3 linked regions of the Lepisosteus oculatus genome follow. Each later gene encodes a partner of the first gene's protein in a complex. Links are inferred from orthologs where the notes say so. Each region holds a gene or a part of one and is shown on either strand. Other genes may lie near its edges.

The links. The genes of interacting proteins can lie anywhere in the genome.
Region 2: med13a (region 1) and med7 share a complex: the UniProt entries of both Homo sapiens proteins name them as parts of the mediator complex. The link is inferred for Lepisosteus oculatus from reciprocal best matches to the Homo sapiens genes MED13 and MED7.
Region 3: the proteins of med13a (region 1) and ccnc are in contact, whole or in part, in a cryo-EM structure (PDB 8TQC), measured with the Homo sapiens proteins. The link is inferred for Lepisosteus oculatus from reciprocal best matches to the Homo sapiens genes MED13 and CCNC. Residues at the interface, in NP_005112.2 of Homo sapiens: Tyr1342, Ser1630, His1631, Val1732, Lys1733, Thr1734, Thr1736, Phe1738, Gly1739, Pro1740, Gly1741, Ala1743, Arg1897, Met1898, Ile1901, Asp1905; in NP_005181.2 of Homo sapiens: Gln7, Gln13, Trp14, Leu16, Gln19, Lys23, Gln26, Lys27, Arg75, Tyr76, Glu144, Leu145, Asp147, Cys148, Ser221.

What each region holds. Positions count from the first base shown.
Region 1 is NC_090721.1:4,737,715-4,744,988, forward strand, and holds the start of med13a (mediator of RNA polymerase II transcription subunit 13a), read right to left. Parts: upstream 3,021-7,274; 5' UTR 2,299-3,020; coding exon 2,233-2,298; intron 1,048-2,232; exon of another isoform or gene 663-1,047; intron 459-662; exon of another isoform or gene 1-458. UniProt on the Homo sapiens protein: Component of the Mediator complex, a coactivator involved in the regulated transcription of nearly all RNA polymerase II-dependent genes.
Region 2 is NC_090706.1:30,433,496-30,441,012, reverse strand, and holds med7 (mediator of RNA polymerase II transcription subunit 7), read left to right. Parts: upstream 1-4,506; 5' UTR 4,507-4,662; intron 4,663-5,577; 5' UTR 5,578-5,585; coding exon 5,586-6,284; 3' UTR 6,285-7,321; downstream 7,322-7,517. Other genes in the region: itk (tyrosine-protein kinase ITK/TSK), read right to left, coding at 1,600-1,737. UniProt on the Homo sapiens protein: Component of the Mediator complex, a coactivator involved in the regulated transcription of nearly all RNA polymerase II-dependent genes.
Region 3 is NC_090697.1:31,786,200-31,793,698, reverse strand, and holds the start of ccnc (cyclin-C), read right to left. Parts: upstream 3,012-7,499; 5' UTR 2,864-3,011; coding exon 2,832-2,863; intron 202-2,831; coding exon 95-201; intron 1-94. UniProt on the Homo sapiens protein: Component of the Mediator complex, a coactivator involved in regulated gene transcription of nearly all RNA polymerase II-dependent genes.

The DNA of each region.
Region 1 (7,274 bases):
TGAAAGCGCTGGTCCAAACCGCTACCGCTACCGCCAGCGCCGGGGTGACTCACGGCTCCTGACAGCTGTAAACAGCGCTGTCACGGCCGGCCTCCCGCTCCCATTAAAATGTCTTCCCCGGCTCCTGCAATTTTCCGAGCCGTCCCGCTTGCGTGTGCGACGACGGACGCCCTTCAGAGTAGATGGGCTCAATGGGACAGGCCATTACCCACCGGCGGGCCAATTGCCGACGACTCGACCGCGGCTCTTCCTCCAGCCTCATCGCGACGGCAGACGCCACACACATCTCGCCCAGTGATTCATATCGAGTAAACCTGCCCCGGCGTCTATTTTATTGTGACATTTTTTTTTTTCCTCCCTTCAGCTGCGGTTCAATATCTTGGCACGTCACCTCCTCCTCCCCCGAACTGAAACTTTTTTTTTCCCTCCTCCCCCTGTGCTGAATCAGGACACCACCGGTATGTGTGTGTGTGTGTGGGGGGGGGGGAGGATAATCAATATCCAACACCCCTTCCACGCATTTACAACACATACACCCCCACTGGCACCCCCAAACCACTCCATCACTCATACTTCAGACGCACATTTGGTACCGGCTCAATCCCTTACCACTCTCCTGATTGAAAATGCCTCCTAATTAGATCTGATTTTTTTTTTTTTAGGAAAAAAAAAAAGCTCCTTCGCTTTTGGCTCCCGCTGTCACGCGTGATCTTCGCACACGAGAACTGCACGGGCCACAATCACACGCAGGGCATGTGAGGAGGAAAAAGCCACCCCTCGGCGGGGGGCCACCACGAAGCAACGTCCAAGGGGACAGCCGAGAATCTCAACCATGCAGTTTAATGAGCTATCAAGCGGGATCGAGGAAAAACAACAGTTCCCAGAGGCACTTCAACAAAAAAAAAAACTTTCCTGCCTTGCACTTTCTGACACTTAGATCGCCCCCATCTCGTCGGCTTTGGGCATCTTGGAATACGGAAAACGCCACACACAAAAAAAACAAAACAAAACCCTCTTACATAATAAACTAGAAACCGAAACTCAAAAGCCTCCAAACGTCTCTAAAAGCCCGTATCCGTACCCGAGGCGTGACCCCCAAGCCCCCAGAATGAAGCGGTGTAAATGTCTTATCTGGGACAGGACCATGCATTGCCACAGCAGCAAGACGAGTTGCGTAACTCGTCCCACACTGCTCGACTCGGACCACAAACCCAGGTATGCGCACGGAAGAGAGCAAAAAAAAAAAAAGTTAAAAGACCTGTACGCAGCTACTTCCATAATTGTTTTTTAAAACAACTTCAACCCCCCGTTGTTGTTGTCGTTGTCGTGCCCTAACGAGCCCAAGTTCACAGCCTCCAGGCCAATATAGGGCATCAGGGGCCGAGGGCACCCTCAACCCGGAGATGCCAGTTATACACCCCCGGGAAGGCTGTAAACAACGAAAAATGACAAGTCTGCTCGGCAACGAACAAGCCTCCCTGCCAATAGAAATGAAACCAAAACTAACGGCTAAAAATCAGAAATAATCTCCCGACGCAGCACCCCGCAAAACAACCCCACCGGGCCGGCGAGCTTCCCCTCCAGTTGATGGGGGGGGTGGATAAGCCCCCCGACGAGACCCAGCGCATTTAATTTCCACAAAACGGCCCGGCCGCGACCAAAACACTTCGCCCAGAAGAGTTTGGACCTTCGTAACTCCTAAATACAGGACCGGCGCACCAGAAAGGTCTCGGATCAAACGCACGGAAACACATTTCTTTTTGGGAGGGGAAAAGAAAATAAAAACCAAGCCAGGGGAGGAAAATAACTGGAGTGTGTATGAGTGTGTGTGTTGGAGGGGAGGGGGGGATTTAAACGCCACAGAGACAGAAGAGATAGGGGAGAGGAAACTTTGCACGACCTGAGTAAACCTGCCTGTTTACTAGACAGCCGTGATCAAATGTTTTGGCCGGCAGCGCTCAAACCTCATCTGCACCGGCGGCCAGCCGAGACCACATCCACGGCCCGGAGGGAGAGCCGACACCGCGCCACGCCGCGCAGCCCCCCGCAAAATGCCGTTTTAATCCGGCCTTAAACTTCGGCAGTATGCAAATGCAACAGAGGGATTGATCAGCGGTGTTTGGATTGCAGTGCTCGACAGGGCCCCCAAGCCTGCGCTCCCCGCTACTGTGCTCTTTTTTTCTCTCCCCTCAGCTAGTTAAAAATGGCTGCTTTTAGTTTTAAATCTCTTACCAGACAGAATAGGTTGGAATGGCAGTCTTCCAGGCTCGCTCCGTTTGGTACAAAGCAAGAACTCATCCTTTCACATCGAGATCGACCACTCCATCGTTTCAAGTTCCCAAGAAAGAAAGAACAATTTTTCTTCTTTTTTTTTTTGTTGGGGTTTTTTTTTTTGTACGCGCGTGGATTTTTTTTTTATTTAAAAAAAAAAACCCCCCGTTAAAAAACACCTCACGCCGAGGATGGTTTTAAACAATCGGCCGGGGGAATGTAATTCAACAGCTCATTTAGATTCTCTCCTCCGTCAGCACTCTCTCTCTCTCTCCCCCTTCCCAAAAATAATCCGCCGTAAATTAAAAACAGCACCGCCACCTCCGCATCGTCCGCCTGATATAAAAAAAAAAAGAGACGCTCCTTGAGTGAGGCTCGGTCGTTTTCTTTTTTTTAAAAAAAAAAAACGGGGAAAAAAAAAGCACGAAAACGCTCTTAAAACAAAAAAAAAAACCCAACTCTCCCCCTCCCCCTTTGGTTAAAACGGTCTGGGTTAAAAAAAAAATCGCCCCTCTATTCCTCCATCGTCGCCGGATTCGGTTTAAAAATGAAAAACATCTTGTAAAAGACGATCGAAGGCTGGTGGAGGACTATATTTTTTCGGTCGTTTTAACCATTATTTCGGTCTCTGTTCCTGCTGGTTTCCATTTGAATTCACGGATTCCTTTCTTTAATGGCGGCCACAGGGACAACTCTGCCTCCCGGCGCCGATTGGCTGGCTCGTGGTCATGCGGGCTGGAAGAGGACTGGAAGTGACGGGCCCGGCCGCTAGGCGCTGCTGAGCCACCGGTCTGGACCCCCTCAGCTCGCCGTCCCGGGCGCTGCGCCCCCTAGCGCGCCGACGGCGCACTGCCGCAGTTATTTATATACCTGGGTACCCCGTGTGCGTGCGTGTGTGTGTGTGTTATTGTTGTTTTTGGTAGTAAAATAAAAATCGGTTCATTCGCAGCTGCTAGGAGGGGGGGGGGCTCTGACAGGCGTCAGGGGTGAGACGCCAATAATGATAATAATAATAAGAAGAAGAAGAATGCTGAAAAGAGAAAAAAGAAACACAACGTTTCGGCTGTGCAGTCTTCTTCGGGAGCCTTCTTTTCTTCTCTTTTCAGCATGGAGTAAACGTTTACTCGTTCCTTTGCAACCTATGCATGCTGACACAACCATCTACTTGAACTAATAATAATCATAATCATAATAATAATTATTATTATTTTGATTGTTGTTGTTGTTGTTGTTATAATGCATTTGGTTGCTTTTGTTTATTTCAGTTGTGGTGATGAAATACTAGGCTCTTCCTAACATCAAATGGACTGCAATAAACTACTTTTTTTACACCCCCCCTTCCCGGGGAAAAACCGAAGCATGGCTCTACCTCAGGTTACTGTGTTTCATTATGTGTCTGGTACCAGAACCTGTATACAAGAAATCTGGTTTCCAGTTCGCCCTGGGGTCCCAGAGACCTGTCGGGGCCAAACATTATTGACTAACCAAACGCACACAACTCTCTCCAGGATTCAGAGTGTTTCTGAGATGTTGCTTCTTGCCTCGAGAGCAGTGTTTAAATCATCTGCTGTAAATGACTGTAAAAAAAAAACCTGTGAACATGCCCACGGGAGAAAATAAATGCAAAGAACTTGAAACAGAATGAAATCCAGTAGACCCTGGCTTCGAAGACTGCTGCTTGACACCCCAATTCATTATTTATTGGTGCTGTTGTTGACGGTGTAGCTGTAGTGCTGCCATTCTTATTCCGAACAATAACCTTACAAGACGCCGCCGAGATAAGCTGATTGTCTCCTGTCTGTGCTGCTGGAAGTCCAGGTCAGCGAGGTCTGCAGGTAATTCAGCTTCGGCTGATCAATAGAGAAGCAGGGAATTTCGCAAAGAAGCTGGTGTTCACCCTGTTTAACCACAAGCCAGGCCTGAGAACCGGTTTGGTGTCTGTATCCTGGCTGTGAAACAATACTCTGAGCAGCCCCACCAGGCTCGCGAGCTGATGGTGCTGTTCTTAACGCTCGTAGTCTGGCTGCCATCTTTTTTTTTTTGTTCCACGTGTATTTCCCATTATCTGTGATTAAGTAAGTTATCATGCAATGCCATGCTTGATAGGTTACCGGGGTTATAGAATGTAATTCATTAACGAGAAGTGCAGCAGGCAGCCAGACCATTTCTGCGGGTCAAGTTGAAAAACACAAGAAACGTCAAAATAAATGTTCGGCTTGGCTAGTTTTCACAGCACCACCCGAACGAAGAAGAATGTACGTGACCTTGTATCGGCTCACAAAGGAAATACTGCAAAATATTGTACAAAAAGATGCAGTATTTGTTTTATTCTTAAATGAGCGGAGAGCAACACTGTCTTGGAATCGGCAGTCGTTTTGTGTATTAGTTTTCTTTATGACAGCTCGCACCTAGCTTGACACTATGTACAAGGCCGAGCTACTAGGTACATCTGTGTTTGTGTATGTTCCATGTTGCTTTGTCATTGTAGTGTATTATTGTTTGAATTAATCTATAAAACCTTAGTAAAATATAGTAAAATCACACCTATACTCATTGTATGCAAGGTAATACGCTTATGACCCTATGTTCCAGAAAGCAGTGATTTCTGCTGAGGCTACATTACTAGGTTTTTCAAGCGGTTTAGTGCTCAGCAGAGTGGAAGAGTTGAGTATTGACTACTGTTGTGATTTCAGTGTTGAATTGTTTTTGCGTATAATAGTCCTGTTGCGAATCACTTTGTAGAGTTAATACTGAGGCCATCACATACATCAGGTCATTGACGACACAGAGCACAGAACGAGGCTCTTCTTCAGCCTGTTCATTGTTATTCCTTGCAACAGGTCAAGGTCATCAACATTACTGTATATAGACAGCTCCACACCATATAGGAACAGGTCAAGGTTAATTCCATAATTCTGAACAGTAGAAAAGATGAAATACACAACATTTCAAGTGTGGAGCTTTCACACACCTCTAAAGGGCTTCACAGTTAGAACAGTGTGTTTTTCGCTCTTTTTATTTCTCCTTAATTTAACTTCCATTGGAGCCACACACCAGCACCTCTCCCTGATCTAACTTTGTCTATATGCAGCACATATTTGTTCCCAATGAAAAGTGTTGTATATACAGCGTGTTTTCTGAAATTTCCATTTGAGTTATCACATTCATATATCAACTTCACCGGATTGCTCAGATATTTAGTTTTTATGTTCTTATTAGAGATCACATCAGGAAGTTACATGGACGTCCGTTTAAATATGAGCACAGGAGGCTCTTCTCTTTACACTAAGGGGTGTGGGAGTACGGAACAAGCTACTCAATTAAGTTGCTGAAGCAGGAATACTGGCTTCTTTTAAGAAATACCTGGATGAGATCCCCGGTAAAATTAGCTATAACTACCACATAGCATTGATGGGCCAAATAGCCTCCTCTCGTTTGTAACTTTTGTAATGTAGAGGACAGCTGGTTATGCACATGCAGGAAATAGCATGTCATCCCATGTTTAACATCATCAATAATCTTGATTAGAAACTGATTCTTCTAAGTGAATTTTAAAAGTTAGCAGGATAAATGTGTTTTTGTCTATGAACTGGCTGCATCACTCTGCTCTCCTCCCCACTGATAGCTGGTGTGTGGGGAGCTTTCTGGCGCACTATGGCTGCTGTTGCATCATCCAGGTGGGGGCTGCACACTGGTGGTGGTGGAGGGGATCCCCATTACCTGTAAAGCACTTTGAGTGGAGTGTCCAGAAAAGCGCTATAAAAGTGTAAAGAATTTTGTAGAACCCTTTTAGGCGTTCTCTAAATGTGTTCCCCTCATAAAATAGATCTGTATTGTGCAACACCACAGAGAAGATGTAAAAATGAGATGAGAGATTTTTTTTTTACGACTAGATAAACTGCATTAAAAAGGACATGGCTTTGCTATTGTCCTCCTCTTGCAAAATCTACAACTTGTTAATTTCAATAACAAAGATCATGGCTGATGTCAGTTTGTGATATTTCTGAGGTGTGCTTCCCAACATCTGCAGTTACGAATTCTGATGAATCAACACTCAAACTGTCACAATACTCGAAAGATCTCTCATTGCAGTTTTCACCTCGATCACCACATTTCACTTCTCTGATATTACAGGACTATAGAAAATGTCTAAAAAAAATCATAAACCAGCTTCGATGTTTCAAACAAATGTTCTGAGTGGTTTGCAAAATAAAAGTGACAGAGATGTTTAACTTCAGAGCTCAGGCTTCTTTCAGGAAAAAGACAACACGGAACTATTTGGATTGTAACGTATGTACAGTATGTATACATTTCGAATCCTGTACGTACATAAGCAGCGTGGATCGTGCAAGCAGCAGGATGGTTCTGTTATCACTACATGTGCTCATAGATTAGAAACACCTACAAAGGAGAAAGCAAGAGAGCAAAAGAAGGACAGATGGTGAGAGGAACAGAGGTAGAGAACATAAAAAAGCATTGCGCATTTTAAAGTGCCAGACAAGGCTTCTCAAAAACAAATGGAAGAGGTATGCAGTAGGCACCATGAACTAACAGCTGAGGGTCCCTTTAGGAACATTTCCTATTCTATTCAAGCCCGCACCTTATCTTATTCTTGTAATTTAATACTTGATCTAAACAAGTCAGTCAGCTGAGATTAAATTTTCATGTACAATGATGACCTGGAGAACCACTTATACTGCAGGGCATGTACTGGTGCAATCGGACTAAAGTACATTGCTCAAGAGTACAGCAGCTATGTTTCCTCCAGGATTTGAACCCGCGCACCTGTAGCCTAGCACGCAGGGCCTTATCCACTACTCCATGCTGCTGTCTGACAGATGATGCCACTTGGCAACCAACCCTCAAACGCAGTGGAGACACAATAAATCCAATTTCTGAAAATCCTGATGACTGAGTGTGTTCAATGTACTGGTGGCTTTGCATTTGACAGGCAGCTGGATTTGTAGTGTTTTCCGCTTACACAACTCGTGAGTACTGCTTAC
Region 2 (7,517 bases), on another chromosome or scaffold:
AAAATACAGAAAAATATCTGCTGTTCACGTGCAATTGCTTACTCTTTATTATATGATTATATTAGTATGACTATAACATTATATCCATATTACAATACATACAAAAAATGCACTCTCAAATCTATTTTAAAAGTTGAACTGTGGAATTTACACAAATATATATATATATTGGGAAAAGGACATTCAACTTTGAAATATAAATTTAACAACCTCGTATGAATTAGACCTGCAAAATAAGGCAAGAAGATTAATACAATTTATCGATGTCTGAAACAACCATTCTCTAGCAATGATGTTAGAGTTCACTTGTTTATTACTTTTAAATGGATAAAAGCAAAGCTATAGCTTGTTTTGTAAAAATCAGTTAAACATGAGTCGACAAATAAGACAGACTAATTTGATTCCACCTGGGGTGTGGATCATGATATTGCTACTACACAAAACACTAATCAAAGTACAAAGACAAATAAACAAGAACTTCAACATGTAGCCTGTTCAGCTGTAACTTTGAAGATTAAAGGCAGGGAGGGCTATGTTTTTATCTGAAGGTTTCCATGTTGGCCAACAACAATTCCCATATTTAACAAAACAACTGAATTAAATATATGCTAAAACTCCCAACATTGTGTAAAACCAAAAATGTATTTCAGGCTTACAAATCTTGTAATATTGCTCTTAAAATACACATAAAAAGGAGCAACTGAGGTCCAAGGCAAGTACAATACAACTAACTCCCCATAAGAATTGCCTCAAACGAACAGAAAACAGACATGTTGATTCAATAAATTTAAACACAAAATACTACATAAAAATGACATCAAACTCACAGGCGGAGGAATAATTGTAAATTATGAATGTTGTGTCTGTATTAGATATTTACCACGATGGAATTGTTTGGGAATATACTGTACTGTATACTGTAAAAACTTTGTTTTAAGTTATTTAATGTGATACTGTTTTAACATAGTCTTACATATGCTTATCCAATTATTTTAGTTCTAAAACTAGCCTTTCATGGATATTAGTAGATGTGCATCTTTTTATTTAATTTTTGGGGGTGGATGTAACGCATATATCAAACGTAATTTTAAAAATTGAACTGTATGTAGTAATACATTTACGTAGACCATCATAGCTGTTTACTACATGTTGACATCCATAAGATATTAATCCTTGAAACTCACAGTGCCTGAAATGGCAAATTATTAATTTTATGCTTTACTAAAAAATAAAATCCTTTTGACATTTTGAAATGTTTGTGCATTATACGCTGCAATAACACAGAACCAAAAGAAACCCGTTTTAACTCACGCCGCTATATCAATGATCTAACTGCATTACTGGATGCCACAGGCGATGGTTTCAGGATAAATTAAAGCAGAAGACTATGAAGTTTGGCGTAACTCTAATTGCTGTTTTATTTATTTTTTCCAAGATAACCGCGGTTGTGGAACTACATCGCGCTAAACAGTGCTGAAGACATATCGTGCTCGTTTCAGGTGCCTCTCTTGGAAGCATTAGGTTCTTGTATAAAATACACTTGTATTACAGTAATTCTACTTTTATCATTGAAAGTAAGAGTGAAATGACGTTACGTACCCCAGGGCGATGTTCGAAGTAAGCCAGTTCATCTTTACTTAAAACGAAATATCTTTGTTTGTAATTGCAAGGTGAGGTTCTTCGTTTCTGCTGGGATTTCTTGAAAAGAAACTCTTCTAAAATGATTTGTCTATTCATCCTAAAGAAAATGATCCTTCATGGAGAAACCTTTTACTAGAGTCGAAAGAGAAGAACCGAGACAGTGTACTGTTAGTTTGGTATGGTGCTTACACAATAAAAAAAATGCAATGCACTATCTTCACAACAATCAAGAAGTATATGAGGTACTTAGTTTCCGGCAAGGCAGCAGGCAAAACCACTTCCTTCTGAATTCTGTTCGTAAATTAAAATCTTTCCAGAAATAAACCGAGTTTTTAAATGTATATATACATTTACAAATCCAAATATACACGTACAGAACTAGAGTTTATACAATTTTTGGGAGTGGAACTGAAAGCTGTAACATATGAATACATTTGTCACTTTAAATTATATCCGTGCTACGTACAGTAGTGACAGTACAGACATCTTAAATTATAAATAATCCCTTGGATTATGAGTCATCTGTCCACCCACTGATTTGCATCACACAATTATGTATCCCACGAATATTTAAACACATTTAATGATATAAATAGGTAAAAAAATAAATAAAACGGGGATAATAAATTATGTTTTTAAAATGAAATCTCCTCGCGTATACTTTTTGTCTTCCCACAAATGAACTGAAGACGTGTTTTGTTTCTTATATTTCACAAATTAAGAAAAGGTTAGCATTTTTTTTTTACTTTATGAACACTAAAGAGTTTACACAGACAAAATGAAAAAAAAAATCTACAAATTAACCACTTCCCAGGTAATGTGAAAGTCAACATTTGTACTCCTGGTTCGTCAGACTCAAAAGCATCAAATCAGTTATCTGAATCTATAACCATGTCTTGAAGATGTGGCTCTCTTGCCAAAGTGCATTGGGCTTGTTTTAAATAAGTATATCAGCGTTGGGCTTAACTCTTTAATATTGTAATTCTGGCATGTTCCCATTTAGGCTCAGAAAAAAAAGAGGCGAGGGACTTACTCTTTAGCTCTCTTATTGGCATACTGTAAGTATAAGATAGCTTCTCTACCAAGAAGAAGTCTGCAGCAGAGCAACAGCTCTCACTTACCCAGTCTCAACCTTGATGGTCTCTCCTCCAATTGGATTCCCTCTTCCAGACTCACACACGGTCTTATAAAACACATTGACATGCATACAGAACTGATCAAGTCGACATAAATGCATTAAAAGTTACTGAACAAGAATCAGTCCATGGAATCTTCCTGTAGGTACTTAGTTATATCATCTCTCTAGATCCTGACTCTAGAGCCAAGCCAGGTTTTTCCCAGTTTGCAGGTTCCCTGCTTCATTAGTCCCGCTGTTGAGATAGCCATCCCCCTGCTGGCAATCAGTTGGATTAGAGGTCTTGGTGCATAACTGCTACAACCAGGATACAGAAGTGGTTGGTGGCAGGTGTTGCACGTGGTCTGCTGGACCTAGAAGTCCTATAAGCTGGAGTCCAGCTGTTGACCCCTGCTCTTGGTGGAGGAGCCAATGTCCATATAACAGGGATCTTAGCTGCCCAGGTTTGGGGGAAGTCTCCTTTAGCTCAGCTGGCAAGTTCCCTTTAGTGTGACACCAGAGACACGGGTTCGCGCCCAGGCAGTGAGGGACCAACTGGCAGGTCAGGAGCGGCTAGGGCGGAGACCCCAAGAACCCCACACCTCATAAGGCAACACATCCCAGAACTCTCCATAAACCACACTGGACAGCTGTTCAGTGTGGGTCCCTCCCAGAATGCCACAAACACGGGCTATTGCCCCTCCTTCCTGCTTCCTGTGAAGCAGTACACCTAGACCTGCTCACAAAGAGTAGAGTTCTGGCCCCCATGATTAGATAAATAGAGGAGTTTCTTTGCCATATGTACGTGTACTTTGGGATTCTTACTTCAGTTCTCTTAGGACATGCACAGTGCAACCGACAACACCACACAATGTGGACAGTACATTACAAAACAGTAAATAATAAGCAGTGAAAGCATGTCCAGACAATAAATAAATTATACTGTTTCTGTTTCACCCAGTCCTGAGACAAGTTCACAAACTCTCAAAGTTGAATGTCCACGTTTTGGTAGCCCCCCAAACACCAGATCCACTGGGATGTGCAGCTCCTATAAGAAAATCATAAATGGAACCCTGAATTACATAGTTCAAACAGCAACATGCAGAACTGACACAGACCTTGACCCAGTTGTGGTCGAGAGAGCTTAAACAAGCAAGACTCAGTGATATGGTCCAGCACATTTGTCCGAAGAAGTGGGTTTGATTTTTCTTTTCATGTAGGGTTTGTCAGATCGTGGCACTAGTCTACACAGAAGACAATTTCGAATAGTTTTTTTTTTTCGGAAACCAGTGTCGGAATAACCAGGTTCTTTCCAAGGGTGGTTAAACTCAGTTATTCAGTTCCTTCATAGGACCGCTTCTCCTATGAAACCCTGCACTGTGTATTTTTCTCGGGGTGGAGGGTGATATCAATTTATAATTTAATTAGTAAAGACAGCACTTCTAAACTGAAACCCACGCTTGGGCCAGGCTGAAAAGCAGTAGAATAAACTTCCATTTTTATTTTATCAATTTTTTTAGACATTTCATATAATTAGTTGTCAATTTAAATACATTCCCTTCCGATCGCAAACTATTAGTAAAGTATTGCAAACTATTACCCTACTATTACTTCTCCGCCTACGCCCGCGAGAGGGAGGTACTCTCGTAGCCAATCGGATTTTACGTTATTAAACGCGTTACGTCCAATAGACTTTGCTGATGAATCTGGAGAGACTGGAAAAGCCAATGAGATCCAAAGAGGATCGAGACGGCTTCCAGCCAATGGCGCCTGGGCTTCCCCTGTTGTGCAGGAAGAGAACCGAGCGTTGTTGAGAGAATGCTAGATGTCTTCATCTAATATATTCAAGGGATTCAATACCCATTTGTGAATGCTTCAGAAATAGAAAATTATAAAGTCGACGAACGGTAGGTAGGAGTTTACCCTGCGTTTTTGTAAAAAGTGACATATGTACAGGTAGTGTGGGTGAATGGAGCGTGTCCCACTGAATAGCAGTCATATCAACAGCACCAGCACAGTCCCTGTTTTACTTTTGTAAACTGTTCGCTGTAAATACATTTCATTTTTAAATTTGGCACATTGGTGTCTTCGTGGTCCATACGGCTAGTTGTAATGTTTATAAGGTACATTTAACAAAAATATGCGATGTTGTAAGCCCCTTGTTTTCGTGAGCGCTACACAACGAATGTGGTGTACAGTGTGTCCTTATCCTGCAAGATGCTTTTGGATTGGTCTCGAAGATTAATATTTTGATGCAGGCATGTCTTATTTGGCAAGTGTTGTAACTTCAAATATTTTCAACGTAGTATAAACAAAAGTAAATGCTACATTCTGCGGGTTTTTTTAGATCGTCCGGGACTTAAATATAACCTAAAAAAAAATTGTTGTAGATAGATGGTCAGAGCCGATTGCTGAAACATTTTTCTCATCATTTTATTGTCAATATGAACTGATTATTCGTTAAAATAATCACACGCCCAATACTCATACATTGGAGTTTTACTTTACCATACGTTTGGGTTTAATGTTATGGAGTACATTTATGCTATTGGCAACTGTTGATCAGAAAGTGTTAATTTTTCTCCATCTTTATTAGGTTTGTGCAACAACTTTGCACATACGTTTATGTTTAGTTGCATTTTCCATGAGCATTGTGTGTTTTTTATTCCAAAACAGCTTTTTACACTGTATTTTGTCTTAAAGCAAGTTATTTCAGAACCGATCTGCATAACAACGTGGTAAACTAGTGCTGTTTAGCAACACGAGAATGAGTTATGTAGTTGCATAGCAGAGTTTTAAAAAAAAAGCTGCTGTCTCCACAGGTTCCACCATGGGCGAGCCACAGCAGGTCAGTGCCCTCCCCCCGCCACCCATGCAGTACATAAAGGAGTATACGGACGAAAATGTCCGGAAGGCCCTCGCCCCCAAGCCCCCGCCGCCCATCAAGGACACCTACATGATGTTCGGCAACCAGTTCCAGTGCGACGACCTCATCATCCGCCCCCTGGAAAGCCAGGGCATCGAGCGCCTCCACCCTGTTCAGTTTGACCACAAGAAGGAGCTGAAGAAGCTCAACATGTCCATCCTGGTGAACTTCCTGGACCTCCTGGACATCCTGATCAAGAGCCCCGGCAGCATCAAGCGCGAGGAGAAGCTGGAGGACCTCAAGCTGCTCTTCGTGCACATGCACCACCTGATCAACGAGTACCGGCCGCACCAGGCCCGCGAGACCCTGCGCGTGATGATGGAGGTGCAGAAGCGCCAGCGGCTGGAGACGGCCGAGCGCTTCCAGAAGCACCTGGACCGGGTGGTGGAGGTGATCCAGGGCTGCCTGGCCTCCCTCCCCGACGACCTGCCCCAGCCCGAGGCGGGCACCGGGGGGCACCCCCGGCTGAAATCGGAGCCCATGGACGTGGACGAGGCCGGTGGCGGCTGCATGGTGGGACAGGCGGACAAAGAAAAGGACAAAAGGGACAAAACGTGGGACAAGGATGCGGCCATGTGCAGCATCATTGACGAAATGACATAAACTGACTTTTCCTTGTACTTTCAAATACCACATGGGTGTTTTTTCTCAAAGCAATGCGACACCGCATTGAAGCTGCAACATCAGGAGTTGTGAGAATAAAGATATGATATTGTGTGGCTAAAGGGGCTGTGTACTGTATGCTAAAATGTTGATGTCCTCTTTGGCTGCATGTTGAGAGCAAAAATAAGCAGAAGTCACAAGTGTCTAGGGGATGAACAGTTTGAGTATTGTGTTATCTGAGGCTATGCTGTTGTTCAAGCAGGAAAATATCTCAGGAACCTTTCGGAAATAAAAGTCACACTTTTGAGTGGACATTTCTCTTTTCATTGCGCTGCAAGCTTAAGAAAGGTTTGGTATCCAGTTGACCAAAGCAAGCTTAAGGGGGAACTGCAGTTCCAACTTCCCAGACCGGTTATTAGATCTCTGTAACAAAATAATTGCTGGCACAGAAATAGTTGACAAATTCCAAATCAAGCACAGAACCGTGAACTTTGTGAAATGACTGTGTAATCTCCATTGTTGTCACAAACCCTTGGTCTCGTCACGGGTGAGAGTTCTCGAGAACTGCGTGAATTGTGACGTGGGGTGGCCCTTCCTGGTCACTAGTCCCTGTCATGACTGTACAGTACTGTATGTAATGTGATGTGATTTCCGAGCGAATAAGTGCAGGTTGTGCAGCAGACGTTTCACCCCAGAAACGTTCCAACGTGATCTGCAAGCAGAGTTAGTAAGTAGTATTTGAAAGGAAAACCATCTTGAAGTCGACAGTAATATTTCTATGGGATTACAAGAGATGTTTTCACAAGTCTGCTTGTTTACAATGTGATAAGGCAGCTTCACATCACTGGACGTTTTGATGTCTTGTTCTGAATCGCCGAATATAGTGCTGCACATACCTGGAAATTTTGCCTATTTTGAGATGTAAATTAGAGGTATCACATGTTACTCTGTATATCTTACTTTTATTAAGGTTTGAAATGCACTCTTCTGTGCTTATTCTTTGTAACCACGAAATATAAAAATAGTGTTGCAGTTTGCTTTTAATATCGCAGCCTTTTTATTCCATTTTTTTTAGATTCTCATTTTAAACTTATGCTTTAGCACCTGTTCTAGCACCAATTTTATTTCAGTTTTGCAGGATTAGATGTAGTGTGGTCTCAGACTGATTCAGTCAGTGGAGCTACAGTTATTAATTGTTTTTTTTTTTTCCCCATCGAATTTTCTAAAAAAAAT
Region 3 (7,499 bases), on another chromosome or scaffold:
AAGGCTGAAGCACAAATAGAAAAAGATTAAAGCAGAAAGAAAAACAGCAATATCATGTCCCTTTCACATCTATCAACTTATTGACAGAATGTACCATTCGCAAAAAAGATCTGCAGTTTCCAATACTCTTCTTCTGTCAGAAACTTCAAGTCCTTCTGGCGTTCCTTCATCAAATCCTGTTTGTCAAGGATCCACTGCAAACTAATGACAAAAAAGTGGCAATCAAAAAGGGCAACATAAGTATATTAACAGTCTCGCTCATAAAAAAGACAAGACGCAGCTGATATAGCCAGCTTTTTTTCCTTTAAAGGGTTTGATATTTTTCAAATTCTTCCTCAACTGCTTGATTATGTACCAATTTGGAAATAAACCACCAATGACAATCCATTTACAGGATTAGAACATGTATCAGAACGTCTACAGCAGAAACAAACACAGGAGAATTTGACACCACGGGCCTGTGCTTCATGCAGGGCCCGAAAATGATTGAGAACCTATGACTTCAACTATCTGAGGATCTGGACATTTGAATAAACCTTTACACAGTCAAGTACTGTTAGTGGGTTAACTGGTCATAACACTGGAATTTTTCAACTAAAGTATTCAACTCATTTCATAATAGGTATTTACAAATTCTTCATTAAAAATGTGGTACTGGATAAGCTTTCAATGTAATACTTACAGGAAAATTAACTAGATTATCTATTTAGGGACTGGATTGTTCCATTTGTTCCTCATGGAACACTTTAACAAGGTCGTCTGAGACATACTATTGGCATCATCACCAAAACCCTTATCCCTGCTTTTTAAACAATTCTATAAACCATGCCCTCTATGCTAAACTAAAAAGCACTGTGTGATATACAGAGAAAGAAACACTTTGCAATTTAACAATGGGATAGGTAAGAGCATAAATACTTTTGTGCTTTACATAAACCCTCAGCAAACTGTTTTGCATTTATGCCATGTTAAATCCAACCACATATCTTCTGGCAAGCAAGGGGCACAAAGAGATACAACCTGGATGGTACACCTGTCCATTGCAGGACACACACACACTCACGCTAGGGCCAACTACCCTGCCAGGATGTCTTTGGACTGTGGGAGAAAACCTATGTGAACACAGGGAGAACATACAGACAGCAGCCATATCACCCTGCAACTCACAACCGGCAGCCCACTGAAGCTAATGTGACGGCTCCTGGGGTTTCCGCCCTTGCCACACCTGTCCTGCCCGTTCTTCCCTCACTGCCTGGGCGCGAACCCGGGTCTCCAGAGCCACACAACAGGGAACCTGCCGGCTGAGCTAAAGGAGAACTCCCTCAGCCCGGGAGGCTGAGATCCCTGTTACACGCAGGGTTACACTAAGCAGGTGTGAGCCTGGTCAGTACCTGGATGGGAGACCCCTGGGAAAGACTAAGGTTGCTGCTGGAAGAGGTGTTAGTGGGTCCTAATGCCCCAGTATAGTGACGGGGACACTATACTGTAAACAGGCGCCATCCTTCAGATAAGACGTAAAAACCGAGGTACTGACTCTCTGTGGTCATTAAAAATCCCAGGGCGTTTCTCGAAAAGAGTAGGGGTGTAACCCCCATCTCCTGTCCAAATTTCCCATTGGCTCTTACCAGTCATGGCCTCCTAATAATCCCCCTCTATGAACTGGCTTCATTACTCTTCTCTCCTCCCCACTGATAGCTGATGTGTGGTGAGCATTCTGGCGCACTATGGCTGCCGTCGCATCATCCAGGTGGGGCTGCACATTGGTGGTGGTGGAGGGGAGACCCCATTACCTGTAAAGCACTTTGAGTGGAGTGCCCAGATATGGAGTGTCCGCTATGTAAGGGTTAGCAATTAATTATTACACAAACTCCACGCAGATAGGAGCCCAGAAACTCGACCCAGGGCTCTTCAGTGCTGCAAGGCAGCATTGCTAACCACTGTGCCACCATGCTGCACGCCATTTTAAATCAAAAGATCAAAACCACTCATAGAAAAAGGAACCCTGATGCTGCAGTAGGCTCTATCCAAGGCGAGGGACGGGAGGTAGTAAATGTAGCAAGCAGTGTGCAAAGGAGAAAAATAAATGCTGAAACAACACACATATACTGTACAATTAGCTGGTTGCCAGATACACCTTGTGGAAGGACAAATAAAAAATACACGCTTGGATTGCGTGCTCTGCAACACTAAAACCCAGAGAAACCGACTAGGTATGTAAAAGGTAGCTATCTGAGGCGACACAAATCGTTTTAGGCCTCTGCATTATTCGTGAAATGTAATCTCTTAATGACGTCACATCTGTTGTGTCTTGTGCTGTCGGGTTTCTATCAATGATTTTTTTCACTTAGGAATGAAGACAATACATAGAACAGTTGCAGAACACATATAAGAACATGCCAGAAAACCACACGCATGTTTAAGAAAATAGGATATTACAGATACTACTGGTGACCAAGGGATAAGAGAAAAATCATTAAAACTACTTTGAATTTAGAAAAATATAGTACAACACTGAAGCCATAAAATTAATATTTTTATATCGAATTAGTGCCTGATGAAGGTTAATAATTACTAAGTTATTTCGAAATTCATTAGTACAGACACTTTATTCGGACAAGATAGGATAAATAGTTAGACTGGAAACGCGAGTGTAAAATCTCGATATTAAACAAGTGTTAAGTGCATGAAATCGCCCTGAATTTAACACGTTTTGTCTAAAACCAGTTTCAGATAAAAAAATATTAATGAAACTGAAGGTCTTTTAGGCCCCAAGGAAAGAAAGATTTAACAGACCGCCGTAGTTTAATATTGTTTAATCAAAAATGACTTACTAATGTGAGCTCTGCCAGAAGTTTCCTGCCATCACTTAAAAAACGAGGTAGAAATTTGGACTATTTTCCTTTTCTCTTTTCAGGAAACCTGGATATAACCTAAAAAAATAACGAAGTAATTATTCCGGCGTTTGGTTTCCTAACGTGCAACGACACAATCACTCCGACTTCGTGTGCACTATGTAAAACCTTCCTACTCTAAAACCCATTGTGCTGTGCTTAATAGGTCCGGTGTGATAAGCTCCTTTGCATTCCTCGACTATTAGACGCATGAAAACGTATGTATTGCATGTATAATTATCCAAATGATATGTTTTCCAAATCTGGACAAGATTTTAAATATATTTTATCTAGATATAACTTTTATCCAAAACGGCTTACTTTAAATCTATTTTTACAAGCTATGCATTTTAATGAAACAATTTCAGTAAAGTACCATGCTCAAGAGCACACCTAAAGTGCCCACAAAATTCCGGTTTAATTTTAATTCTGTTTGCATCAATTTATTTTCTCTTTTTCTCACTGTCACTCACTACTTGAATATTAGGGACAATACATCTCTGTGAGCTTGCAAACCTGCAGTCCTGTTTCCACCTTCGATAATACAATACATTATAGGAGAATATTATTATTAATTTAAACATATATTGATAGCATTCTGTTTTATAAAGCTATATCTTATCACCTACATACCTTGTGTGGGGTGTTGTGAGGTGAATTATTCAATGATAATTACATATGATGGATTACATATCACTCTTCCATCTGATTTCAGTAACTAATTCATCCTTCATTCAGACAATGAATGGTTAATGGTGAGCTGGAGTCCAAACCACCAAAAACAGAGTACAATATGGGGCTACACCACGGACAAAGTGTCAGTCCATCGTTGTGTATAGTTATGTACAATCTCACCTCATGCCCGTTAATCTGGAAATGTCCCTGGACTGTTAGAGGAGATCAGAACACCTGGTGAAACCCATGAGAATTTAGGGAGAAACCCTCCTCATAAAAAGGTGCCCTGGTTCAGAATCAAATATAGCAGCCAGCAGTCCTTCATGATTCCATTCATTCATTCATTTATTCCTATGAGGGTGTTTCAACAAATAAGGCAAGAGTTCCCGAGGTATGTATGCATAAACAGCAGAAAATGTTGTAAACATAATATCCAAACCTGTCTGTGCATGTGTCCCATTATAACACATATAGTAGATAGAAAATCCTTGAATCTGCTGGAGAAAAGAGTTAAACCTACCACTTTAGGTTTAATTCATCTGCTGAACAGATACTTCTTTAAGAGACCAAAGAAGTGGAAATCTGTGAGTTCCAGATCACAGCCTTGAGATCTGCTGTTCTTGCACATTCCTCTCACAATGCCACAAGTGTGGTTCACAGGGTGTGACCCTTTATATATGTCAGATCTGACATATATGTCAAGTGTCTTGAGATACTTTGAGTAAAAGGCACCATATAAAACTTAAATTGATTGATTGATTTGTTGGTTGGTTGGTTGATTGATTGATTGAATCAATGAATGAATCAATGAATGAATCAATGAATGAATGTTGGCTGACTGGTTGGTTGAGATGAACCCAGTCCTGATTGGATTTGTCAACACCTGTCAGTTGCTTCAGCACTCATCAGGTGCACACTTCTTCAGTACTCCTAGTGGGTACAACCTTCACCTGTACTGTATGTCTTGTCTACATATTAAATATGTGTAAGTGATCGTTAACATCAGCATGATTAATGTTGCTGCACGCTGGGATAATTGCTACACAGCCAGACATATTTAAAAAAAACTTGCCCTTTAAATTAGAAAAGTCTAATTTCAAATTATAATTTAAAGAGAGAAATATTTATCTGTTTACTGTTCATCTAGCACTGTTCTGGGTTTAGCATACAGAAGATATAAACATTCAAAATTACTTTATGGTGTACTGATATATGGAAAAATATATTTTTCTTTTTTAACAAATCATATTTCTCTTAATAGCATCTCTGTTGAGATCATGTTCATTAGCATGTGACACAATATGTCACATGTGACGCGTAAGCATTAAGAAATAAGCAATCTTATCACTGTAAAAAACAAAATAGGGATCTGTTGTAAGGTCTGGCCCCTCAATACAATCATATTCTCACAAAATCTTTGAGCGTCGATTACCAGAGAAAAAACATTGTGTGATGTTGCAGGTTGGTGTTTAAACTCATTTCGGATTCATTCACATTATGGGGAGACAATGCCCTTTGCACCTTCCACATGGGTATAAGAGCTGACATAAGAGGAAAGAATCTCTTGAGTGCTTAAAACAATCACAGGGACTGCTCGTCCTCTCCTGACACTGTGCTGCTAGTAGGAGTTGTGGTAGATCTCCCTGGGAGCAATAAGCAGTTAATATTCAACGTCTATTTCCAGCAACAATAGGGCCACACTTAAAATGGTTTAAATATTACTTCAAAACTCGAACTTAAAAATGAACAGATACGTTTTTTTATTCTTTTAAAATGAATAGTCTGTTAATTGGGAACTGAAAGGAAGTGAAGCTGACCACACTATAGGACCACGTTACCATGCCCAGTGCATAAATGTACTTGTCTTTTTCAAGGTTTCCTGGAGTTTCACTAGGTCTTATTGTGTCTTTATAAGCCTCTCCACCCTTTCACACCTAGATTGTAGGGTGTTGTATTACACTTGATTGTGCTTTTAACGTAATATAACAAACCAAATGTTTATAAGAGTTATATCAACCAAATGGTAGGTTGATTTTGAAAATGTTTGAGGATTTGGAGGAATGTCTTACACAGCACAGAAAATTAATCTTTTATTGTAGAAGCAACAAGCAGTGTGAATGCTCAAGGTTGCCAAGTTTCAAATAAATAATTATTTGACTATGTGAAAAACATACATACAGCATAGAGAAAGATATTGTCTTGGCAAGTCAGCCAGACCTATTACAGGAAAGGCAAAAGAGCTTTCCCTCTAACTCAAAACAGGAGGAGTCGCAGTAACTTTACAAGCAGCAGATTAAATTCTAAAATGCTTTCACTCCTTCGGGTATTTCATTAGAGGGCAGATGGATTACTTCATGCAGTTCGTAAATATATACACCTGAAGTAAAAACAAAAGAAGAGGGACACATAACATAAAGAATCTACTGAATGAAAAAAAACCAATCTCATCATTTTGCTGCTCAGGTTGAGCTAAAAATAGAAAAAAAATGTTAGTCAGATTTAAGATGGTAAATTTTAAATCAAGGGAATTTTTGTAAAATCTGTACATATCTTGTTTGGAATACCACGTACAACTTTGGTGGACACCTCACAAAAATTACTTTGCAGCTTGGGACTGGGAATAGTGTCTAGATTACTGATCTTGAAGGAATGTCACACAATGACAGCTTAGAGGAACTAAATATCTTTAGTGCTAAATAAAACAGGTCACAAGAGGTCCTGGCAATCTTTACCTTGAGGATTTGACCAACTCATTCTAATGGGACTCAAGTAAAAATTAAAAAGAAGAAGATGTCTGACAACAAGACACACTTTTCAAAAGTCATGCGAATGTGTAACAAGCTACCCAGCTGACCTTGTTTTTGAGAAGCCAAAGCTGAAATTCAGATCAACAGTCTACCAGCATCTCTATAAATTAACTGGACCTCCTTTTGTATGCTTTCTTACATTCATCCAGATATACTTTCCATAGCTGCTTGCTCTCTTCAGAGGGTCTTTTTAGGTTTTCCATAAGGTTCAGTCTTTTGATGTGCAGATGTGTATAGATGTATATACTGTATGTATGCTTTGATATGCCCTACAGCATACTGCTATTACTGTATGTATTTAATTATATACAATATGTTGCTATTTAGTTTTTTTATCCGTGAAAATGTTTATTTTTTACTTTGCTTCGATAATGTTTTGAATGATTTGCTGATTATACATGATGAAGAAAAGAGCTAATACTTTTATAGACATTTGCAGACATCTTCTGTATGTCTTGAGATAATTAAATGTGCACTGTGAATGATAGTAAGAACACATGTGTGTCTTTCACTTATCAGTGTTCAAGCTTTACTATGATATGATTTCGACGCAAGAAATAGTCAAATACATAACGGATAAGCAGATTCTTGGTGCTATCATTCTAATTATACAGAGATTTCCAATGTTACTGTGCCAAATATTACACATATGGAAAGTGATGACAGCTGTTTAATCCACTCTGCAGAATGATAATTAAATAAAAAACAATTGTAGGATAGTCCTTCGTAGATGCCCAACCCACTGATGGAGAAGAAGGTCTGGGCAGATTGCAATTGTCTCCGCTCACGTCTTTTAATCATTCCATGCAGAAATCCCAGACATCCCAGGCTCTGATTTATTTTTTTGCTACAACAGTTAATTTTGCTTTTACTGCGCCAGTTTTCTTTTCCCTTTTCTGTCATAAATGCTAGCCCACTAATGACCATATATGTCAAATCTTCAGGGAAAGAATGCCTCACATTTCACTGTACGCTAATGTAATGAATTCATCTGTTTGCTTCTGGCCCTGCTTTGCATGCAATTAAACTTCAGTCACATCCAAAAGCATTAGATCAGCGCTGCCTAATTGGCTAAACCTTCTATTTTTAAGATATTAAACTCTTCACATGATTTTGACAAATATTC